Drosophila melanogaster: one gene and its partner. The protein of the gene in region 1 purifies or fractionates together with the protein of each later gene. This does not show direct contact. Each region holds a gene or a part of one and is shown on either strand. Other genes may lie near its edges. The genes, in order: Cortactin and mim.

The links.
Region 2: the proteins of Cortactin (region 1) and mim purify together in Drosophila melanogaster (affinity purification with western blotting, with the first as the bait; one study listed by BioGRID). This does not show direct contact.

The regions. Positions count from the first base shown.
Region 1 is NT_033777.3:21,053,793-21,066,002, reverse strand, and holds Cortactin (cortactin), read left to right. Parts: upstream 1-1,531; 5' UTR 1,532-1,580; exon of another isoform or gene 1,581-1,639; 5' UTR 1,640-1,708; intron 1,709-1,891; exon of another isoform or gene 1,892-1,894; 5' UTR 1,895-1,938; coding exon 1,939-2,105; intron 2,106-2,173; coding exon 2,174-2,577; intron 2,578-2,668; coding exon 2,669-3,777; 3' UTR 3,778-4,323; downstream 4,324-12,210. Other genes in the region: Mvl (malvolio), read left to right, coding at 7,536-7,742, 7,803-7,987, 8,052-8,216, 8,289-8,427, 9,153-9,308, 9,377-9,535, 9,594-10,039, 10,101-10,216 and 2 more.
Region 2 is NT_033778.4:6,965,384-6,977,413, reverse strand, and holds the start of mim (missing-in-metastasis), read left to right. Parts: upstream 1-5,776; 5' UTR 5,777-6,521; intron 6,522-12,030. Other genes in the region: vimar (visceral mesodermal armadillo-repeats), read left to right, coding at 1-198, 257-861; Ufsp1 (UFM1 specific peptidase 1), read left to right, coding at 2,545-3,123, 3,186-3,311; Cyp6u1 (cytochrome P450 6u1), read left to right, coding at 3,585-4,626, 4,685-5,109.

The DNA of each region.
Region 1 (12,210 bases):
TTTTGCAAATGCACTGAGCAATTCACTTAGTAATAAACCTTGATGACACACCTATTCTACTATAATTGCACGGCCTCGAGTACACTACTACTATATTTTGTGGACGGTGGAATGTGGCCACATCCGATTCCGGTGAGTAATGCTGAGCAAGGCACAGGCGCTCATACACAGTGCTTACTGTAGTTTGAAGTGCCTGTCGGGCAATTGAAGTTGATTGAATTACTAAATTAAGCAGGGCACTGGGGGATAGAGATATTTCGAAAAATTCCGCTTCTCATTCCTACGTAAAATGGGAAAGCAAGAAAGGAACAGAAAAGTTTACTTAGATTTCGTCGGAGATGAGAAAAGTCACACGCGTCGCGAGAGAAAACGCCAAAAGAGTGGGGCTTTTGCTTTTGAGTTTGATGATGTCATCTTTCGGTTTTGAATTTTTCTCCCACCCGAGGCTTTTATTATTGAAATATAAAGTAAATAGAGAAACAAGATTCTGGAGAATTCTCGCGATACCGCACCCACAACTAGAATTCTACAAAATGCCCATTTTGGAATGGCACAAATGAAAATTATCTTTGAGTGTTTAGCACACACTTTCTTTTCTCACTTTTCCGACTGATTTTCCGCTTGATTTTTTGCGATTTCTGGCACAGCGAGAGTAAACAATGAGTTTTATCTACAAATTCCTTTTGATTTACCAATGATATTCGATTTTCAACGTACAAGTCAGACGATGCGAACTGCAAGCGATGTGAATAAATACCATAGCTGTTTGCGCTCCGTCTTTGGCTTTTATACTCGCGCTCTCTCGCTGGAAGTCGATTAGAGATGAACCAACCGGCGATAGGTTGTTGTTGCTAGGAAATATTCGGTGGTAGCGCCTAACTGGAAGCTGGTATCTTCTGCGTCGTCATAGTATACACCGTAGAATCTAAAGTGTTCCGAGATGGATGAATCATCGGCATTGGAAGCTGTTGAGACATTCATGATATTTCCGTTGTGATAATGACGACATTGGGAAAATAAGATCTGATTACGCATTGAATTTCAAAATGTAACCTTTGACTTCAATATTCAGCCGTTAGGGCAATACAGTTAAATAAATATCCTGTTCCTTCCTAAGCCGTTTTATAACTATTTTTATTTGTATTTTTATAACTATATATAAAAACCAATTACGTTAATTGTCAGCCGACATCGAAGCAAATTCAAATCCAAAACTATCGATATATCGATGATATGTTTGCGGTTATATGAAAAAAGTCAACTCTTATACCTGTTAATTACCGTTCTGGCAGAATCTTATTAATTATACAAATTACTATGGCGCCACTTGGTATAACATCAAATACCTTTTGCCCGAGCACTCAGTTCTATTGATCACGATCACATATATTGGTACTGCAGTATATATCGGTGCATTGACTTATCGAATAAAGTAAAAGAACCACGACTGTATCTCTTAATCATTTAAATTGGGCGCCCCTAAAACTGCAGCAACTACCTTTTGTCAAGCTCATCACAATAATTTATCGGCTTTTCGTAGCATATCGATGCATCCATTGTATCGAATGAAATTTAGTTCAGTTAGTTTCCCGTTTGTTGGTCTCTTTATGAATCAATTGTTTAACCCTTCTCCTCCCAGAAATTTGCAGACATCCCTAGCGGCATCAGATCATAAGTTCCTCTTGCAGTAGGAGTTAGTCATCGGGATGTGAGTATACATATGAACATAGAGCGCCAGTGGCATCTTGTTCCCGATCCGGCTTTGTCGGCCCCTCCCTTCTTCGGTGTTTTGTGACTTGTTATCTGGGCCACGAATCGGAAGCGGAGCCCCTGCAACTGAAAACCTGCCCCGACTACTCACACTCGTCATGGTGTTTATCTATCTACCCAGCAGATAAGGATAAGCGAGTAACCAGCGACCAGAAACCGGTAAAAAGAATGTGGAAGGCAAGTGCCGGTCACCAGATTCAGGCCACCAGTGCAGCCTCCGCGGAGGACGACGACTGGGAGACGGATCCGGACTTCGTGAACGATGTCAGTGAGCAGGAGCAGCGCTGGGGATCAAAGACGATCGACGGCAGCGGTCGCACAGCAGGCACCATCGAGTGAGTCATCCGAAATTCTCGAAACACTGGGTATCGGGTTCATTGTTCCCTTTCTTTATTCTTTTTAGCATGGACAAGCTGCGCGAGGAGACGGAGCAGGCCGATCTGGACAAGAAGAAGCAGCTGCTGAAGGATCAGAACGCAGGATACGGATACGGGGGCAAGTTTGGCGTTGAGAAGGACCGCATGGACAAGTCGGCTGTGGGTCATGACTACCAGGGCAAGGTGGGAAAGCACGCCTCGCAGAAGGACTACAGCGATGGTTTTGGGGGAAAGTTCGGAGTGCAAGAGGATCGCAAGGACAAGTCTGCCGTGGGCTGGGACCACGTCGAAAAGGTCGAGAAGCACGCCTCCCAGAAGGATTACGCCACCGGCTTCGGAGGCAAATTTGGAGTGCAGTCCGATCGGGTGGATAAATCCGCCGTGGGCTGGGATCACATCGAGAAGGTGGAGAAGCACGAGTCTCAGAAGGGTAAGTTACCTAACGGAAATGAATTTCTCATTGATTTTTTCTTAGTATGTTCATGTCTGATTATTTTATTTATATCTTCTCCCAACATAAGATTACTCCAAGGGCTTTGGCGGCAAGTTTGGCGTTCAGGAGGACCGAAAGGACAAGTCCGCGGTGGGATGGGACCACAAAGAGGCTCCGCAGAAGCACGCCAGCCAGGTGGACCACAAGGTCAAGCCAGTCATCGAAGGTGCCAAGCCTTCCAATTTGCGTGCCAAGTTCGAGAATCTGGCTAAAAACTCCGAGGAGGAGTCACGTAAGCGGGCCGAGGAACAGAAACGTCTCCGTGAGGCCAAGGACAAGCGGGATCGGGAGGAAGCCGCCAAGAAGACTGTGGCCGAGAACACTCCTCGTACCTCGACGGAAGCACCGCCTCCAAAGGGCAGCAGGGCGGCCATCCAGACAGGTCGGACCGGTGGCATTGGCAATGCTATCAGTGCATTTAACCAGATGCAGTCGCCTGTTTCTGAAACCCCTCCAGCACGAAAGGAACCCATTATCATTCCCAAGGCGCAGCCTGTTAAAATAGAATTAGAAGCAAAGGAGGAGCCAACGGCAAGTACAACATCAGCTGCGGTTGCTCCTACTCCGACAGTGGTCCCCGCTCGAGAGCCGGAAACAGCTCCAGTGGCCAAGGCTGCAGCTCCACCACCAGATGTGGTGCCCCAAATTGAGGTTGAGACCGTGGACACGCCTCCCAGAAGTGAGCCGCAATCACCAGTGTATGTGCCGACGCCTCAACCCGAAGTCCACGCCCAAGTCCAAGTCCAACCTGAGCCGCAACCTCAAGCCGATCCTGAGCCAGTAGTTGAAGAAGAGCCACTGTACCAGAACCAGGCCGAGATTAAGGCTGCCTCGCCCTTGCCACCAACGAATGGAACCGTTTCAGAGGCTGTTGCTCCGAGTGGCACCGCAACCGTTCCCGAGGAGGCAATCTACGCGAACTCAGACAATTTGGCCGACTATCTGGAGGACACCGGAATCCACGCCATTGCCCTGTACGACTACCAGGCGGCGGATGACGACGAGATATCCTTTGATCCAGATGACGTGATCACCCACATCGAGAAGATCGACGATGGGTGGTGGAGGGGATTGTGCAAGAACCGCTACGGACTCTTTCCAGCCAACTACGTGCAGGTGGTGGGACAGAACTCATAAAAGCTTCCAATTGAAATTCACGATAGAACAAAATCAAATTGTATTTACATACTAACGAAAACGATAATACTGATGTTGGATTATAAACCATATAAACCAATTCGCAACTAACCCAGCCCATTTCCCATCCATTGTTTACCCTCTTAACCCTCCAAATTATGTGCAACGAATGGCTAGATATTGAATTATTATTGTAATTTGTTATGCTAGCACTTAAAGTAACCGTGGTATTCCATTTTTGATATATGTATCATTTATTGCATTTTACATTCTTTGTATTTAACACATTTATTTTACCAAGAAAATATGCCAAGCTATTTTAGATATCTCTCATTTCATATTTTATGCATTAGTTATGATATTTGTGTCAAGTAACGATTTTGGTTTTTTTGAATTGTATAAAGTCTACGAGAGTTTCCCGTGTCAGGTGATCTGATCTAATGTTAAAGACGGATCTAATGTTGAAGACAGTCACAAACAAAAAGTCTGCTCTTTTGATAAAGAAATACATAATTAATAAAGTTAAATAATAACGAGTTCTCTCTTAAATTGTGGTACTGATAGTTCGGGTGTTTTTGTTTTTTTTTAAGGCCTAACAAATCATTTTACTAAGTAAAATGATTTCATTGGATACGGGAATTCACAAATTTCTATAAGAAGATAAGAACGAGCATATTGTTGGGTTCCTTCTAATATCACGAGGATATCTCTATTTTGGGGTAGAACTGTCAAGGCCTTTCTTGGATGGGCCGAATTCTTATCTGCCTGTTCCGAACGCATCGTAATCTGGCAAAGTAGAAATTGTTACATGAAACGAGCTACTGACATGATTCATGGTGCAAATGTGAGTGCATATGGGCTCAACAAAGAAAGAGTACTTTGCATTGTGGTGATTAATTAGTTAAAAAACATACATAAGTAGGATGTACGGCCATATTGTAAATTTGAGCGCCAATCCCAAAAAGACTTGATAAGATTTATCGCAATTATTGGCGACGGATCGTAATCGAAAAAAGTGTCAGACGAAATCAAAGTTTTGACTGATAAAGTTGATGTATAAATTAAACTTCAAGGAGGTATTACGATAAAGTGTGCGTGTTGGTAATAACGTAGATATTATTAACTAGTGATTGTAACTCAAAGGGTATGCAACTTAACTATGTATCCCGCATAACATTTCTAACGGTAACCTGCGGTCGATGTACAAACCGGTATTTCAAATGCATGTTCAAATCTTAGGCGGTATTTCTGGGGCCTTCAAAAATCCAAATCTCAGGCCTTATCAAAAAATCTCCCCTCAAAAAAAAGCAGTGGTCTTTCTCCCACGCACACACTCTCTCTCTCTCTCTTTCTGTCTTTCTTTTTCTCACTTGCCGACGCGAGAGAGAGATATTTTGAATAAATAGGGGCTACCGCAAAATGCTATAGTCAGTCACTCGATCGCGTGGGCTCAGAGTTAAAACTTCAGTTTGGCCGATAAGGTTAGTACTCTTGTCGAGTGTTGCCAGATTTCGGCAAGTCAAAGAAGAGAGAGTGGCCGCAGGTTGCCACATTGGGCACAGACGAAAAGACAGTGTGCATGTGAGAGGCGAGTGAGTGTGCGTGCAAAAGAAAGCAGCTGGTGGCAGAATCTCAAATATTGTGAGGAAAATTAATAAACAAAGAGCTGCGCTCACGGCTGAGCACAAATTGCCTGCACGCTCGTCAATTGTCGTTAACTAAGTCAGCAATTGGCAGCCAAACCGTCCGCTTCTTCGTCATTTCTCTGCTTCGTTTACTGCGACCATCACCACTCTTGTTTCGGCCGTACAACGTCACGGAATTCGTAAATTTCGTAAATTGCTCCGCGAGAAAAGCAGGAAAATGCATTTATAAGCTGCCACAAGTGCCGAGATTGTGATATAATAAAGGCGAGGGCTCCAATTAGTTAACCCCCAGTTGCAAGTAAGCCATTAACTGGTAGGAAGTGCTGTTTAACCTGAGTTGCCCAATAATTTACATCTCCATCAATATTTCGTGTGTGTGTGTGAGTGCGCACGCAGGTGTGCGCTAATAACAAAAACAACGTGGTGCACCCTCTCTCCGTCCGCTCTCCCTCTAACCGGCAAAGAGAGTAATGTATAATTCTTAACCGTAAATAACCGTAAACAGAAAACAATTGTTGACAAGCTATTCGCACTTTAAAATCCCCTAACAATGGATAGTTTTCCAGACACAATTCACTACTTTTATTGCCAGCGAGAACTGTCATAGAAATAACTATTTTAGGCAGCGGAAATCGTATAATTACTGTTTTAGTTTTTTTTTTTTTAACAAGCGACTTAACAATGTGGGCTGATAAGTATTGCTCTTCTATTTTCAAATTACTGTTATCTGCATTTGTCAATTTTTTGTTGTCAAGTGTTTTGTTTCGCCTGCTTCAATATACAATATAAATTGCTTTTGCCCGCTGACTGCGCAAAATGGTACGCAGTTTAAAATATATATTTTCTCTAAATAAACTCATGATATTTTTTGGTGCCACTTAATTTGGACTCTTAATGGAAATGGTTCGTTTTTTTTTTTTTTGATTACCAATTGTCATAATTTACAGCGTCCAACTGGGCACTAAAGTGGCAAAGGAACACGTACATAAATATGTGGCTGATTATACACTTATCGGCTAGAATTCCGCTTTTGGGGGCGTGGGTATTGCCATACAACTGGGTAAACAGAGCAGTCTGCGCCACACAATATAACACAAAAGTGTTCCAATGAACTAAACACCCTCCTCCGACATTTCGTTGTTACACATTTCCTTCGAGCCACTGCAGCGCGATTTAAGCTCCATTAATGGCGGCTTGATATGGCCAACTCGGTTACTTATAGTATATGCCAAATGTACCCGTCCAAGTGCCACATATAATGTGAAGTAGACATTGCACGATGCTCTCGAGCTCTTTGTCTTTGCTTGCTCCGATTCAATCATCAATGAAGCGATGTGGAAAGCCTTATAGCAGATATGTAGCATCAGTGGGGCAGTCGCGTTTGTCAAGGTGAGCCACTTGGCTCTACATTCAATGTATTGCGTTGAAGAGCAGCCAAGACTGCTCAGGCATCTTGTATACGAAATGCACTTGTAATCGCTTTTACCAAATAAACAGTCCAAAATTTCACATCGATACACGGGTCAATGGACTCGTGTTTATGTTCAAGTAGTCTTGTTTTCGACCATCCATATCTATACGACTGCAAATGCGAAATATCTGCAAGTTCTCTGGGTAAATTGGGCAGAGGCATTTCAATTACTGGACTTCATGAATCACTGAGCTCGTTTTATTTCCTTATATACCCGCATAATATAAGCAAATTTCAGTAATATTATGGACGCGTTATCAGTTACCCCCGAGCTAATGCCTCTCGAACTATTTATTGTTTTCATATTTTGCCACGCGCGTTTCGGAAAAAATAAAACGTGTTACTGTGACTTTGCTCTTGATTATGGTGAAATCCCCAAATAAAACTATATGGTGCAAAAAACTTAATTATAGCGCAAAATTATTTTGTTTGTTGTGTGCAATATGATAATGCTAATTGAGCTAGAATCACACACAGATGCTCAATTAAATGAAAATGGTGGGAATCATAAGCTGATGCCAGGTGAAACAATCAAATAGAAAATACAAATTAGAGTAGTCGACAATGGGCAGTGGACGGGAATATAGCAGCATGTGGAAACTCGAATTAGGTCCAGTCTAACCTCGCCTCTTCTGTGCAGCATGTCTTCGAATGAGGCCTACCACGAGCCGGGTGCCGGTGGAGATGGACCGGGCGGATCGTCTGGCGCATCCGGCGGAGGAAGTCAGCGGAGCAACCAGCTGCACCACCAGCAGATACTCAACGAGACGACCTACCTGAAACCCGCCGCCAAGCAGGCCTACTTTAGCGACGAGAAGGTCCTCATACCCGACGATGATAGCACAAACGTAAGACCCGCTTGAATAGCAATGCTACTCAAACTTTATCTAATATCTGGTGATCTGCAGGTGGGTTTCAGCTTTCGCAAGCTGTGGGCCTTCACGGGACCCGGTTTTCTTATGTCCATTGCGTATCTGGACCCCGGCAACATCGAATCCGATATGCAGTCTGGTGCGGCGGCCAAGTACAAGATCTTGTGGGTCTTGCTGTGGGCCACAGTCCTAGGTCTGCTCATGCAACGCTTGGCTGCAAGGTAATTGGGTCTCCACACCTTGCAAAAAAGATGATGATATAAGCGTTTATTATCTTCCTGGCAGACTGGGCGTGGTTACAGGCCTGCATCTGGCCGAGATGTGCTACAGACAGTACAAGCGTCTGCCACGTTGGATACTGTGGATAATGATAGAGATAGCCATTATTGGATCCGACATGCAGGAGGTCATTGGCACGGCCATTGCCATATACCTGCTGTCCAACAAAGTGTAAGCAAATCTAATGAGCGGATTATCGCAGTACCCAGTACTCATGCATGCGGTGCTTTCCCCATTTTGTAGAGTGCCTTTGTGGGGCGGAGTGTTGATCACCATTGTTGACACGTTCACGTTCCTGTTTCTGGACAAGTACGGTCTACGCAAGCTGGAGTTCCTATTCGGCACCCTCATCACCATTATGGCTGTCTCATTCGGCTATGAGGTAAGTTTAAAATGCAAAGTTGAAAAAAATAACTTAACTATAAAAAGTAATCGCCAAAATCAGCAAAAAATCCCCTTGCCAAATGACAATAAAGTAGTCAAGAGAATAAATTACCAGACGTGAGTGCAAATACGAATTGTTTAAACAATTGCAACGACCGCAATGGCAAATAATTTGTGAGATGCCTGTTTAGGTTTATTTTAATGATCGCTAGTAGTAAATTTACATTTGACTTGTCGATTTCTGGATGAAGTTAGCCCGTTAACTAGCCCCATATTCTTACTCTTAAGTTTACGACCGCATCATGTTAACGGGCCAGATTATAAACAATTGTACTTGAGCTTTCTGCCCCAGACGGAGATGATTAGATAAGCTTCACTCGCACACTAAATGGGGTTCTGAGCGTGGGTGCTGGATACTTCATCTTTTGTTTGCCAGGCACATGATGCTGCCGGACATGACTAACAATTCCAGATGGGATGTGTAATGCCAGTCTTATCAATTAGATTATACAATGCAGAATTGTACAATTACCGATGGTGGTTTTTGGAGATAATTACAATGGAAAAAAGTGGGGGTGCCTCGAGGGGATTTTTCTACGAGTAACAAGTATTTTGTTATTTCTAACCAAATCTCAATATAAGCTAGGAACAATTTGTTTTCTCCCCATAATCATTTTTTAAATGGTTTTAAGTCATAATTAATTTATTTTTCATATCTTTCAGTACATTGTATCAGCCCCTAATCAAGGAGAAGTTCTCGAGGGAATGTTTGTGCCCTGGTGCTCTAACTGCAATTCGAATGTGTTGCTGCAGGCCGTGGGTGTCGTGGGTGCTGTTATTATGCCGCACAATCTCTACCTGCATTCCGCCTTGGTTAAGGTATAGCACAACTAGCTTTTTGTGACTTCGTAATTAGATACCAATACATAACAATTTTCTGTTAACAGTCCCGCGATATAGACCGTCGCCAGACAAAGAAAGTTAGTGAGGCGAATTTTTACTTCTTCATCGAGGCGTCGGTAGCCTTGTTTGTGTCCTTCATCATTAACCTGTTTGTGGTGGCTGTGTTTGCCCATGGCATGTATGGCAAAACTAATAATGATGTGGTAAGTAGACTTTTGAATTTATGTGTAAAATGATTGCTAACTCTTTGTGGGCCAATAGGTTGAAGTGTGTAAAGACAAGTCGATGTACGAAGATGCCAAAATGTCTTTTGTGGACAATGTAAATGGAACCGCGATCATCGATGCAGATCTATACAAGGGCGGACTTTTCCTTGGCTGCACATTTGGAGCTGTCGCCATGTACATTTGGGGTGTGGGCATTCTAGCTGCTGGCCAGAGTTCCACCATGACGGGCACCTATGCCGGTCAGTTCTCAATGGAAGGCTTCTTGAATCTGCAGTGGCCGCGCTGGTGTCGCGTGCTGGTCACGCGCTGCATTGCCATTATTCCCACCTTCTGCCTGGCCATGTTCAGCAAGATGGAAGATTTGACTAGCATGAACGATATCCTGAATGCGGTGATGTCGCTCCAGCTGCCATTCGCTGCCATACCCACCATCGCCTTCACCTCGTGCGCCGCCATAATGGGCGAGTTTGTTAATGGACTGTAAGTGATACAGACACTTTTAATTGATTATCGTGCATTCTTTAAATTTTTGTATTCACAGGGGCAACAAAATCGTATCCATACTGCTCACCATTGTAGTGATTGGCGTTAATTTGTACTTTGTGGTGGTGCAAGTAGAGAATATGGAAATTAAAGGCGGCTTGCTGGCACTAGTCTGTGAGTAGTCAATTGCCACAATTTAAACCGAATCTAATGTATTTTTCCTTTTGCCAATTGCAGGTATTTTTGCCATTTTGTATATACTGTTCAACCTCTACCTTGTGATACACATGGCTGCCTGCATGGGCAATCAGCGTTTGATGAACAGCCGGGTAAGTACTTGGCCGCAACTAGTTGGGTCACTTATCAAATGGGCTTAGAGAATCACAAATTAGGCGAACTTTTTGACACATTTTAAAGCATCACAGATACCGCACTGAACGGACTGACTTTATCAAATTACGTGACTGACCACATATGGTTCTTGGGGGCTTTGAGGGCTTATGCCTACTTCATCAACTGGTACTCAAGGTATTCTCTGTTTACAGTGGGTGCAGCGTTTTGTGTTGCCAAGCCAGAACAGCTTTTCGATAAAGAACGCCAACTCGACGTACGCCAGGTATGTTCCCGATTTTTGATTCCAACCATTCAACCATATAACCATCCAGAACACACTCGAATGCACAAACTCTCTCGATTTGCATCTTCTTCCTTAAAAGCATTCTCTGCTAACCCATTGCTTGTGATTAAGTTTTTTCCCGCTCTGCTTTCAACCAAATCGGCCTAACTTCCTAATGATTCTAATCTTATCTCATCTGTACTTACTTTCTATTTACTAATCTACATTTGGTTATCATCTCTGAACTAAAACTAAACCCTCAACCCGTATTTTGCTGTGCTCTCTTCTTTCGATTTTTCACAGTGATGTAACCTTAGTTGTAGGCGATTCAGCTACTAACACGGTGAAAGGTCTTGATACCGTCTCGGAGAAAGTGCCTAACTGAATCATCCCGGTGACTCAATCAGGCCACACTCCCCCACACACCCTTGTGATATTAACACTAAATCACACGCTTAACACTACTAACACGTACCTAGTAGGGCTCTACGCAACCCTTAGCATTTGTAAGGCATGTCTTTAGGGGAACTACGATTGTACATAAAAAGCATTTACCCATCAACGATGGGGTCCTATAGATTATAAGCTTGACTGTGGTAAGTCTTCTATGATTGCTTTATCGAGCTATGGGTATTATGTACTCATAAAGCTTTGGCGCTTAGCATGTTAAATAAAGTTGCAGTTATCACTAAGTATTACTCGAGAAGTCTTTCAATTTATTGGTAATTGGTATTTGACCATAAGTGCGAATATAAGCCATTTTACGATTGGAATTTGATTGCACAAGGATTGTACAAGGAATTAGAACGAAATAAGGAAACAATTAGTAACTAAATGTTATATTTGCTTAAGTATTAAAATATATTAGATTATTTTAAGTATATTTTTCGTAATGGACATAAAGCACATTGGGCGTGGCTCATTTATCACCCTAATACCACTAAAATAACTAGAAATCCAAATAAATGTGGGTAATTTTCGAATAATTTTGTATCACAACATATTTCTTTTATTATATGTACTTGGAAACCCTGCACTCTCTCTGTATGTGTCTGTGTGTTTCACCACTGTCCCTCTCACTATCTTATACACCATACACCCTACTCTTATACTCGGTGTGTCTACAACACGACTGGATTGATTGATGTTTTCCGTTTCCCATTCATTTGTGGTTAATTGAAATGTGCCAAACAATTGTACAAAACAAAAACTACAACAAAATCCACCAACTATTTCAATTGACAAACACAAAAACAAATTTAAACACGAACCCACTTTAAACACGCACACATGCAACGACCACAAAAATGTGTTTTATTTCTGTGAGGAAATGGATTTTTTGGCATTGATACAAACCAATTGAAATTACTTTTTGAAACTTTTGATTGAAATTTTTCAAAATTCCCAAAGAATTGCGCATAATATGCAAAATTTCAATGCAACATAAGCCAAGGCAAAACCAAATCGAAGCCAATTGAACTGGGTAAATCGAAATTGATCAAATGTAGAACGCGTGCCATGACCGTTGAAATAACTAAAAGGGTACCCAAAT
Region 2 (12,030 bases), on another chromosome or scaffold:
ACAACGGCGTCAAGGACGATGTGCGCCTGCAGCACGCTCTTCTCTCCGCGCTGCGCAACCTGGTCATCCCGAAGCCAAACAAGAACGCGGTAATCCAGGCGGGCCTGGTGCAGACCATTCTTCCCATGCTCGAAATACACCAGCCACCAGTCGTCTTCAAGCTGCTGGGCACACTTCGCATGACCGTCGACGGACAGGGTGAGTAGTGGCAACAACCGCACGCGATCCGCATCTCTAACAACATCTGCTTTTCCAGAGAAACTCGCACTGGAGTTGCTGAAGAACAAGACTCTGATCGAGCAGCTGGTGCACTGGAGCAAATCGTCGGACTATGCGGGCGTCACCGGCGAGTCTCTGCGCCTCATGGCCTGGCTGATCAAGCACGCCTACCTCAGCAAAATCGCATACGCACTGCCGCGCAAGGGCGATGCACCCGCCGAACAGATTGCCGACAAGATTCCGCTAACGCAAGACTACGATCGCAGTAGCTTGAGCGAGTTCCTTGCCAACGAGGGCACCGTGGAGGCCATGGTCAGCATGCTCACAGCTCAGCACCTGGTCATGCAGAACGAGGCGCTGATTGCCCTGTGCATCCTGTCCGTGGTGTACCTGTCGCAGCCCAGCGAGGCGGCGCAGGCCCAGCTGCTGCAGGACGAGCTGGTCAAGTGCGAGGTCGGCAAGAAGTTGGCCGAGCTCATCAGCAAGTCGTCGGACACGATGACCAAGGAGATTGTCGAGAACCTGCAGAACTGCGTGAACTTGCTCAAATCTTCCGAGCAGCTGGTGGCGCATCTGGAACAGCATAACATCAACGAGCTGCTGAAGTCTATACCCATTCTCACCGAATACTGCACCTTGTAAGAAAACGGGGACTGTCATTGCATTTATCCCAGCACCGCAGGATGCCTCACAGTGGGATGGGTCGATTTGCACGATTGAACATAACATAAATACTTTAGGGGTAAGCAGTTATCTTTGGAAGTTATCTGTGTGGTCTTACCAAGAGAAACGCCAATACTTATTCGTAACGATACAAAGATTAATACGTTGCGCTAATGTGCTAAACTCCACTTTACTACTTAATAACAATTTTGTTAAATTGTAATTAAATCCACTCTCTTGAGATTCACTGACGTTGCACGATTCCAAATAGCCAAAGATAAATGTTTGCCACTATTAGAGCATGTTTTAAAAAAAATCAGCCCACCCTTAGCCACACAGACACACTCAGAACCGGAGAAAATAGTAGTTTTCACCCCAAAGCAACGATTCAGATGTAGACTTGACTGTAGTTTGGTAAGAAGAAAGTGCAGATTCACAAGTTAAGCAGTTAATCAGTTAAGCACACTGGAACACGCGAACACGAGAGGAGCAGAAAGTATTTTTTAGACGCAAGCGTATTTTGACTGCATTTATGAAGAGAATCCGATGTAGTAAGGAGTCACAAATCGTATGAATATTTATAGCATACATACATAACATATACGTATAAATATAATAATATTAATAATTTAGCATATTAATCTTTTCTGTTACATGATTTTTAAGAGCACAATAACAACAAATCGTGGTGATATCGCTAAATATATTTAATAAATGTATTTTATGATTGTACTTATAATTTTCAATCGACCTCTTTTAAACCGTTGCTGGCACAAACCAAAAACGAGAAGATAACAAAACATTTAGACGCACGACGTAATTAAGGTATTTTAATTGGTGCACAGACACATATTGCAAACGGCATCCCATATATTTATTGTAAAACTCGGCGAAGTTATCCAAAATGCATTTTTAAGCTAACTTTAAAACATTAACAAAACTGCAACTCAGTAACAATCAGCAATCCGAAAATAGTTGAAAACCAATAATGCAAATATTTCAATTTTACAAATCGTAGTTTATGGAGTGCTACAAATTTTACCAATTATTAAAAACGATGTACTAATGTTTGGTCACCAAAAACTAAAAATTAAACGAACACAATTCAAGGGGAATGGTGTTAATATATAAAGCGTTGAGACACCCACACACATAAATGCGAAAACATATTTATGAACTCTAAACACAATAATGTACATTTAATAATTCAAATAAAATTTGAAATGCATGAGAAATAAGAGAAAACCAAATAGATGCGTTTAAATTTAGGCGCTACAAACGGGCTGTTATCGATAATTCGATGAGAGAGTTGGTGATGGATAATTGTAGTAAAACAATTATGACAACATTGCTTAATATAAAAATATAAATTTTATCAAAATTTTGGGCGGAATAGCCTTTCATCATGACTCATTCTTATATTCGTTAATTTTATTTTCCGCATTATTGTTATTTTATTTTGGCTGACTTTGTCATTGGTGCATGACGATTCAGCTTGTACCATCTCTAGCCAGAGCAAAAAAAAAAACATTCCAATTTCTTTGCTGCGATTTCACTTTCACAAAACAAATTACGGCTGCCCAAGGTAAATAAACAAAAAAGAAAAGGAGCAGGTGAATCAGGCCTAGGCTATCAAATTACTCAGTTTCGAAAACAATTCCTATGGCGGCGGAAAAGTGTGCAGAAGAGTTTGGGGACTCCTCCGCGGCGTCCTTGAAAATTGTACCAAAGGACTATGCATATCCACTTCTAGAGGATCCGCAAGGCGCGCTGACCACGCCCACTGAAGGCGGGCGGACGCTAGTTACCCGCGGTGGCTTTAACTACTTCCACTACGGATGCGATGGCCACCAGGATGCTGGCTGGGGTTGTGGCTACCGCACCCTGCAATCGGCCATTTCCTGGATCCAACGTCGACAGGGGTCGAGCGGTCATGTTCCTTCCATCCGGGAGATTCAGCAGATCCTGGTGGCCATCGGCGACAAGGGTCCAGAGTTCGTGGGCTCGCGCGACTGGATCGGAACGCTCGAGGAGTTCTACGTGATCGATGTGCTGCACCAGGTGCCGTGCAAGATTCTTCACGCCAAGGAGCTTAGCTCGGACGAGATCCTCGGCGAGCTTCGGAGCTATTTTGAGAAGTACCAAGGCTTCGTCGCCATGGGCGGTCTGAGTGACACCGCCTCCAAGGCTATTACCGGCTACCATTGCAGTGCACGCGGTCGCATCTTCCTGCAGGTGGTGGTGAGTCAGCGAATTAGCTCATTTTATGAACTGGTGAACTAATCGCTCGCTTCCCTTTTTAGGATCCGCATTTCGTAGGCGTGCCCAGCTCCCGGCAGCACTTAATCGATCTGGGCTACGTTCGTTGGGTGCCCGTTGACGAGTTCGCCGGCAGCACGTACAACCTCTGCCTCATCTTGCAGCCGTAGTCGCAACTCTCCGTACCTATTTTAGCAATAAATCCCGCTCAGCTCTTGATTACTATTACTTACTGAAAGTTGCCTTATAGCCACGTTTCTCTTCCATTTTAGCGGCCGATACTCAATGGACCTTATCAATTATTAAATCGGACCGCACGATAATGGCGCTGATAAACCGGCGGCATTGAGCCCCAGAACCTCGACAAGCAGCTACTGCCAGCTGTTAAGCATATCAAACAGCGCGAACATATTGTAAAAGCCGGAAAAGACAGCTGAGTGAGCATGGATCTAATGCACCGCACCCTGCTCACCGCCCTGGGTGCGCTGTCAGTGGTCTACGCCCTGGTCAAGTTCAGTCTGGGCTACTGGAAACGGCGGGGGATCCTGCACGAAAAGCCCAAGTTCCTGTGGGGCAACATTAAGGGCGTGGTGAGCGGGAAGAGGCATGCCCAGGACGCCTTGCAGGATATCTACACCGCATACAAGGGCAGGGCGCCGTTTGTGGGATTCTACGCCTGCCTCAAGCCGTTCATCTTGGCGCTGGACCTGAAGCTAGTCCACCAAATAATCTTCACCGACGCGGGACACTTTACGTCCCGAGGCCTTTATAGTAATCCCAGTGGAGAGCCGCTGTCGCATAATCTCCTTCAGCTGGACGGTCACAAGTGGCGGTCACTGCACGCCAAATCTGCAGAGGTTTTCACTCCGGCCAACATGCAGAAGCTGCTGGTCAGACTGTCGCAAATCTCCTCCAGAATTCAAAGGGACCTGGGCGAAAAGAGCCTTCAAACTATCAATATAAGCGAACTCGTGGGTGCATACAATACGGACGTTATGGCGTCAATGGCCTTTGGACTAGTAGGGCAGGATAACGTGGAGTTCGCTAAGTGGACGCGCAACTACTGGGCGGACTTTAGGATGTGGCAGGCTTATCTGGCGCTTGAGTTTCCGCTCATCGCTCGCCTTCTTCAGTACAAAAGCTACGCAGAACCTGCTACAGCTTACTTCCAAAAAGTGGCCCTGTCGCAGTTGCAGTTGCATCGAAGAAGGGATCGCCAGCCACTCCAGACCTTTCTGCAGCTATATTCCAACGCAGAAAAGCCGCTCACCGACATCGAGATTGCGGGCCAAGCCTTCGGCTTCGTTCTGGCTGGCTTGGGCCCCCTGAATGCCACCCTAGCATTCTGCCTCTACGAGTTGGCCCGCCAGCCTGAGGTGCAAGATCGAACCAGGCTCGAGATTAACAAGGCACTGGAGGAGCATGGTGGCCAAGTGACACCGGAGTGCCTAAGGGAGCTCAGGTATACGAAGCAAGTCCTCAATGGTGAGTACCAAATATTGAAAAGCTCTTTATAGCTCCAATGACTTCACCTTTTTTTTAGAAACGCTTCGCCTGCACACTCCACATCCCTTCCTGCTACGCCGGGCTACCAAAGAATTCGAAGTGCCCGGATCGGTGTTTGTAATTGCCAAAGGCAACAATGTGCTGATACCAACGGCGGCGATACACATGGATCCTGGCATTTATGAAAACCCCCAGCGGTTCTACCCGGAGCGCTTTGAGGAACAGGCAAGGCGATCCCGCCCGGCAGCTGCGTTCCTGCCTTTCGGCGATGGCCTGCGAGGATGCATTGCCGCTCGCTTTGCAGAGCAGCAGCTTCTGGTGGGCCTGGTGGCTCTGCTGAGGCAGCACAGATACGCTCCCTCTGCGGAGACCTCGATTCCCGTGGAGTACGACAACCGGAGACTGCTCTTGATGCCCAAGTCGGACATCAAACTCAGTGTGGAACGGGTGGACAAGCTTTAAAGGAGGCTCTGCTGGAGCATCGCATATTTTGTATTGTTTGCTTTACAAAGCGTTTAAGTTGTTTTTATATTTGTATATGCACCTTTTTCGTTGATTTTCCTAAGCTGTGGACTTGTGTGATAATGCTGACGATGACTTTTATAATCTTTTGCACCAAGCTCAACAACGTGAACAAATAAATAATTTAGTTGTTATATCGAACACTTTCATACCATCGGAAAATAGGACTCTTAAAAAGAATTCTATGCATAAAAGGTGAATTTGCAGCAAATGCAGAGGCCATTATTTAAAGTAAACGACGTTAAATTTATATAATTTGTTTTCAATCTATAGAATTCATGGTTTTCCAAATTAACACTCATTTAGCCCGAGTGCTTAGTTAATGTCTTCGGCACTTCCGTTTCCTAGGAACTCTACTCTAAAACATGAGTTATTCTCTTCAAATTTTTATAACAAAATTTTTGGTTTTTTATTCAATTGACTTTTATGTCAACTGGAACATCGAACGCGCCAAAAATAACCATATTTTCAATTTTAAAAGTTTGCATGATAGGTAACATTCCCGATTCGCAGAACGGTTAACAGCGAATGTGACCTCGCTGCCAAGTGATTTTTCCTAGACGTGGTCACACTACAGAGGTGTATTTTCCCAGCTTCGAGCGATGGTCACACTGACCCAGACACTCGACTCTCGAACGAATCGGTCGCGGTTGTTTTACGGTTTTTTGTTTGTCTATAGGAAAGCCCTTTCGCACCGGAGGAAAACGAAAATGCGCTCGGAAAGTCAGTCGTAGACTTGGCGAAAATAGCGGTTGCAGCGGCAAACTTCTAACTGTTTTCTAACCGGAAAAGGAATGCGCGAACCAATTGGAAGTGCAGTTCGAAGTGCGAGCATATAAGTGTCAGATTCGGTGCAAAAATAAGCGAATAATTGTTTGCGATTTCCCGAGGAAAACGGAAAATTAAGCGTCTGTCTGCCAGCCCACTGTGTGCGTGTGTGTACGTGTGTCTGTGAGTGTATAACATAACAGAAAACAAAACAACAACAACAACAGCAGCAGCAGCAACAACAAGGCAGTCAGGATCAACGGTTCTGGGGTAGTTTGTTTGAGTTTGAACAAAGCAAAGAAAAGCAAATGCAAAAGCAAAGCACACGAAACTGGGCGTAAGAAGGAGAGAGAGGAAATAGAGGGGAATAACGGGAGAATACACCCCGCTCGCACTCACAACCGCTTCTATCCTTTGTGTGCGCTTTTGCCGCCTGGAAATGCAATGCTAGAACAACAACAACACCGTGACCGCAGAAGTGCAAGCATCAACATCATCGCCTAATTGTCTGCAACATCGTCGGCCGAAAAATCAAGCAAGCTGCATAAAGTCGCCCTGCGATATTTTACAGTCGGAAGTGCACCGTAAGTATCCTTCAAGAACAACAAAAAGAATCGAGTGTGGGCTAATAATGCCAATTACTGGGGTTGGGAGAGGGGCGAAGAGCGTTGGCTAGGGGGATGGAGTAAGGGGAGGGAATGGAAGCTGCAGTTCACCAACAACAAGTTTGGACCGATTCCAGGTCCAAGGACTTCCAGTGACCATTCCAGGCGGTCGTGAGAACCGAAAACTCCGTTCACGGCCAATCCAAACAGGATTTGTTATACACGTTAAAAAAAAGGAGTTTCATAAAAAATGTTTAGGTTTTATATATTTGTAATTTTGTTTTGAAGAAAACATATCTTTGATGGCCAGCAACATAATAATAATAATAATTTCTATAACAAAATCAACAACCAATTTCATGTAACTAATTCTTTTTGTAAGATAAATTAGTGAATTATTAAACCTCTTGAAGTCAAACAATATACATTTAGTGATTTTTGACAAATTGTGCCAATGAAGTGCTGTGAAGTGTTTTCGGTCCACAAAATTTGTGCGAAGTCAGATTTTCCGATTTTTCGACTGCCATAAAGTTTTCTCTGTGCACAACTCCCCTTTTGAAGTTGCGCGGTAATTGCGCAAGTGCAGGGACTTCTCTTTGGACTGTGTTACCTGAACTCGGTTTATCTGAACAAGCTAATTTTTTGTCCGACTCCGAATGGGTCGTTTTTTCGCGAGGTGGCGGCTTTGTGTTCCTTTCAACCCGTAATCGCAACAGGAACCGGAGCGGCACGTTGACACCCATGGTGCGGACTAAATGCTCGAAAGTTGAGTTCCCATTCCCGGCTCCCTTATCGCACGTCTCGTTCTCTTTGCATACCTTTCAAACGACTTTTGTGCGCGCCGTCAAATGGAGCAGATAAGCGTAATTATTAAAATATTATTGCCGGGGTTTGTTTACGTCCCGGGAATGTTTTCTCGCGCATTTGTCTAAACAAATGATGCAGAACTTTCCAGCAACGGAGACCGTTTGGCCTGAAATGTCGGCCGGTGCATTCGCCAAGTCGCTATATCGTATATACTATACGCTGCTTAGACACAAAGTAGTACTCAAATTCGAAAGGATGCCTTGGGCTATCTGATTCGCGTGGAGTAACCCAATCCGCAAACCATCCAACTGCCGCACCTGTGCAATTGCCAAAAACGAGAGAATCCAAAACAACAGAGGGTCTCAGAAAGAAAGATAAAATTAGCCACAAACAGCTGTCGGCCATTGGCAAGAAACTTGCTCCTGCACCGAGAGAAAAAACCTGTATTTCGAACGTGATCGTTTGGAGGAAACCTAAATGTTTTACCTAAATTGGAAAATCATACATTTTGATATACTAAGAGAAGGAAATTAATGTTCCTTCTTACTAAAATGATAAAAATATAAAAATAAGTGAAATATTATAATTTGAAAACGAGCAACTTTTTTCGGTGATCTTACTACGCTTATATAAACAGAAACCAGGCACTTGCGCCTTAACAAAATGCAAACAGAAATTCACAAAAGCAGAAAAACAAATACCAGTGAATATAAAAAAATATTGTGTCCTATGGAGAAAGGCCGCTCCAACTGACCAACCCCCACCTCCACCTCCGTTGCATAGAAACAACAACATTCTTTCACAAGCACGAGAGCAAGGCCAAAACAAAGGAAAAACGTTAACTGTTTGTTGTGCAAATATGTTTTCTCATTGATGGTTTTCGAAAAATTAATACTCGTAATATTTTGAATGTTCTTTAGCCTACTGTAAACACAAAACCCCCATTCAGTATTTTAGCTGGATCACTTCAGTTCTAAAGGCGCTAATAGTTTTTCCCACTAAATGTAAAATAATTGGTACATTATTCATATATCTTTAATACTCGCCTTTCGGAACCGCTGTTACGTCCTCTTTACATTATAATGCGGCAACTGTTTTCAATTGGTAAACAAGAAAAAACGGCTGAAAACTTGTAAAACTTTTAAGTCACTTAGCCTGAATGTCTGCATTTGTTTAGCATGTCGCTGCGCTGCTGCAATTCGAGTTTCTCGCTGCCCACTCACAAAAAGATTTTCGTTTTCGTTTGATTGGTGAACTGCATGGGCGTTCCTTGTTGTTTGAATGAATCTGAGTTCGAATGAGTCCGCGACTCTAGACTGCTGGATCGCCCACTCGAGTGGAATCTTTCGTAACCACTTTCGATTTTCGGGGTTCGTCCTAATGAAAATCGTGTCTAATCCAACCCGAGATTCGCCTTCGCCTCAAGCGGTTTTCACTTGGGGTGGGCTGCGTGCGGCTGAATTGCGCTGGCAGAGAACGTGGAGCTCATTAAAAAGTATAAAACTTTATCGCCGCCCTGGGTGAAAATGTCAAGGGTTCAGGGTTCTGCGAGAAGTGAGAAGCGACACTAAAACGTATTTCCTTCAATTCTCGTTTCTTTTCCGCGAGTTATGGCGGGGCTGGGAAATTAGCAAAACCAAGATGCCTGAGCAACTGGCATTTTCTTATGCAAGAAAAACAAAAGCTGGGCAAAGCTTTTCACGCTAACGAGACTGGAAAGGCCGGAGAAAGGCAGAGAAATCCCCATTGCTGATGGCCACAAAGCTGTCATGAGGAAGGCAGAAACAAAACGTGCTGATGGAACCAGCAAACAAGAACATAACAAACATGACAAAGTACGGAGTAACATGTGCCGGCTAACGGCACTCCGGTTAATCATTAATAACCATTGGCCATGGCCAAAACGCCCAGAAAACCGGCAGGAGAGCGGGAGTGGTTGTGGTGTTAATAATAGACAATGTTCTCGGGCCTTTGTTAAAATTAGTAAAAGCAAATTTACCCACCTTAACATTGAGTTGTCGAGAATTTCCGCTCTCTAATGAGTTGAGATGAAGTCGAGAACAGTGAATCGGTTTACCTCAGTGTGAAGAAATATACTAATAAGCTCTTCCTATTTTAATTTTTATTTAAAATAATAAAATAGCTGACACATTAGGTGCCTGCACACTTTAAATGAAACTTATAACAAGAAAATCAAATAGAGAAGTGTGTTTAATTGCTTGAATATCTTCTCGATTGAATTAAATTATGTAGAAAATCTATAAAGTAGGCTACACCTAAGACGTGGTTGTGTTTTTTATTAAAATGACTAATCCGCTGAATTTCGAGTGGAAATGCGCTGGAAAAGAAACAACCCACCGCCATGTTTCGCCAATGGGTCATGTTGTGTATCTCGACTTTATTTTCGTTTCGGCTGCCTTGCCATGTGTAAACATATAATTTTATGCACAAATCGATTAAACGCCGCTAAATGCCGAAAGTTTATTTCGGGCGGGCCGTTGTGTTTACACATTTGTGGGCGTTTGCATTGCGAAATGAGTTTTGTGCTCCACATTCTCCTGAATTTAATTTTCTTCGGTCAGCTTCAGCCGCTTGATAACTTCCGATCGATACTCATCGATTTCCACATTCGTGGCCAAAACAAACGCGTGTTTACAGTGCTACTGATTAGATGGTGAGCCTATCAAGAAGGTGGGATGCCTATCAGCTTCAATTATCGATGAATTGGCCTATTTTACAGCGTGTTAAATGCGCAGCCCGCGAATTATTCAATTAGATTCGAATCAAAGTAGCCTTTGGAGTGAAATAGACAGAGATTTCTCAAGGCATGCTTGCAAACATAAACACTGAGTGTTTTCCTTTTCGCTATATTTTATTCATAGAAAATTTGGGTTAATGACGTGCCATACGCGTCAGTGGGTGTTGTCGAAGGGGGGGGGGGGGGTTGGCATTCGGGGGGAGAGAGAGCTAAAGCAGATGCCCTCACAAACACAAATCCCAGAAACATCAAATAGAAAATGCAGTGCAAAGCACAGATGACGCTAAAGATAGAAACCCATAGATAAACATCAATGTTTGAGCAGATGTGTGTTTCTGAGTTTCTGCTGGTGACGTTGTCGATTCTGTTCATATAAAACTTGATCTTTTGATTATCATCGTTTTATGCGTTCTTTTCGCTTTTCTTTTCATCGCGCGACCACTCGACACATTTCATTCGATGATCGGCGCTTTCCTAACCCCGGAATAGAGGAACCAGACCCCCTACTCAAGACGAGAGACCCCAAACTCCAAGCCCCCAGACTAAGATCAGGCCGAGGCATCTCGACACTTGGCTGACCACAGATGGCCGCAGTTGTTGGTGTCAAGTTGTTGATACCACCCGTAGTAGTTGTTGGTGAAAGTGTAAAGTCATGACGGGCCGTCCGCTGGTGATGCTGCAGCACAATTTGCCGGCCACAATGTATCGCTTACCTTACAACTTATAAAACAACACATAAATCCGCTAAAAGCCAGCCTGACATTGGAGATTTTCGCCGACACCCGCACTTCACTTTTCCTAGTATACAAATCTCCAAAGGCAGCTGTAAAATTATTTGTTTTACCAAATCCCAACCAGAACTTATGGGGCACAAGAAAAACAGAACTTTATAGGCAGAGTGGATAGGAAAGTATCCGGCAGTGCATTAAAGTGGTGGGCTGGGAATTGTAAGTTTTGGATCTATTTTCAGGCCTTGATTCTTTGCTTGATTATTTATCATATTCAACATGGACCATTCTGAGAGATATTTCCTTAGAGTGTTAGAGAAACTTTCAGCTCAGCTTGGAAAAACTCGAGAAAGTACAATCGTTCGTATGGTTCATTGTTTATGCAATCTTTACGCATAAGCTATCAGTAATTATTTTTAGAATAGCCGAGGAAGTGGTTTCAAAGTGAATTAATGTGTCATTATGCGCTGAACAGCGGAACAGCGTCAGGGGACTCCCAAGTTCTGGTTTAGTCTCCAATGTTATTGCTGCAACACGTTGTTGGTCCACCCTAATGCTGCTCATCTGCATTTACGCCTAAGAACGCAGTATGCAAGGGGGAAATTCAAATGGGACAGAAATGGCGGTGCGTGTGCTCACATCTTTGGTAAGCAATTAACGGCAGCAACTCTGTCTGTCTGTCGCCCTTGACAAAAGTGTGTGCCACAGTTGCCCCTCTCTGCTTTCCGTCAGTCAAGTCACTTCTTGCAATAGAAATCCAGACAACATGCAACATAAATGGTATACAGACAGGGTACAGATGCGGCCAAGACAATAAAACAGCGATAAAATGTAATTTTTTATAAGTTTACCATACTTACATCCAGATATTTATGAAGGAAGCCAATGATAAATCTTAATGAATTTAAAAAATTGGTAACTTTTATTTAATTTATTTAGTGCTATTGTTTTTAGCCTATCTAAATAGTGGCTATGTCATTTTTGGGCAAAATGTCCACAGATACATCCATCTTTCGTTTCTTTATGATTTGATATTAAACACATTAATATTATGGTCTGACCTTCTGCTGTGAAGCAAACGAAAATGAGTATTCCCTGGCTGGTGCCCTCCAACTTCCTGCCCATTTCAACCAAAGCAGCTTCCGTTTGTTTCAATACACAAATCTCGGAGAAACCGCAGATACAGAGCCGCAAA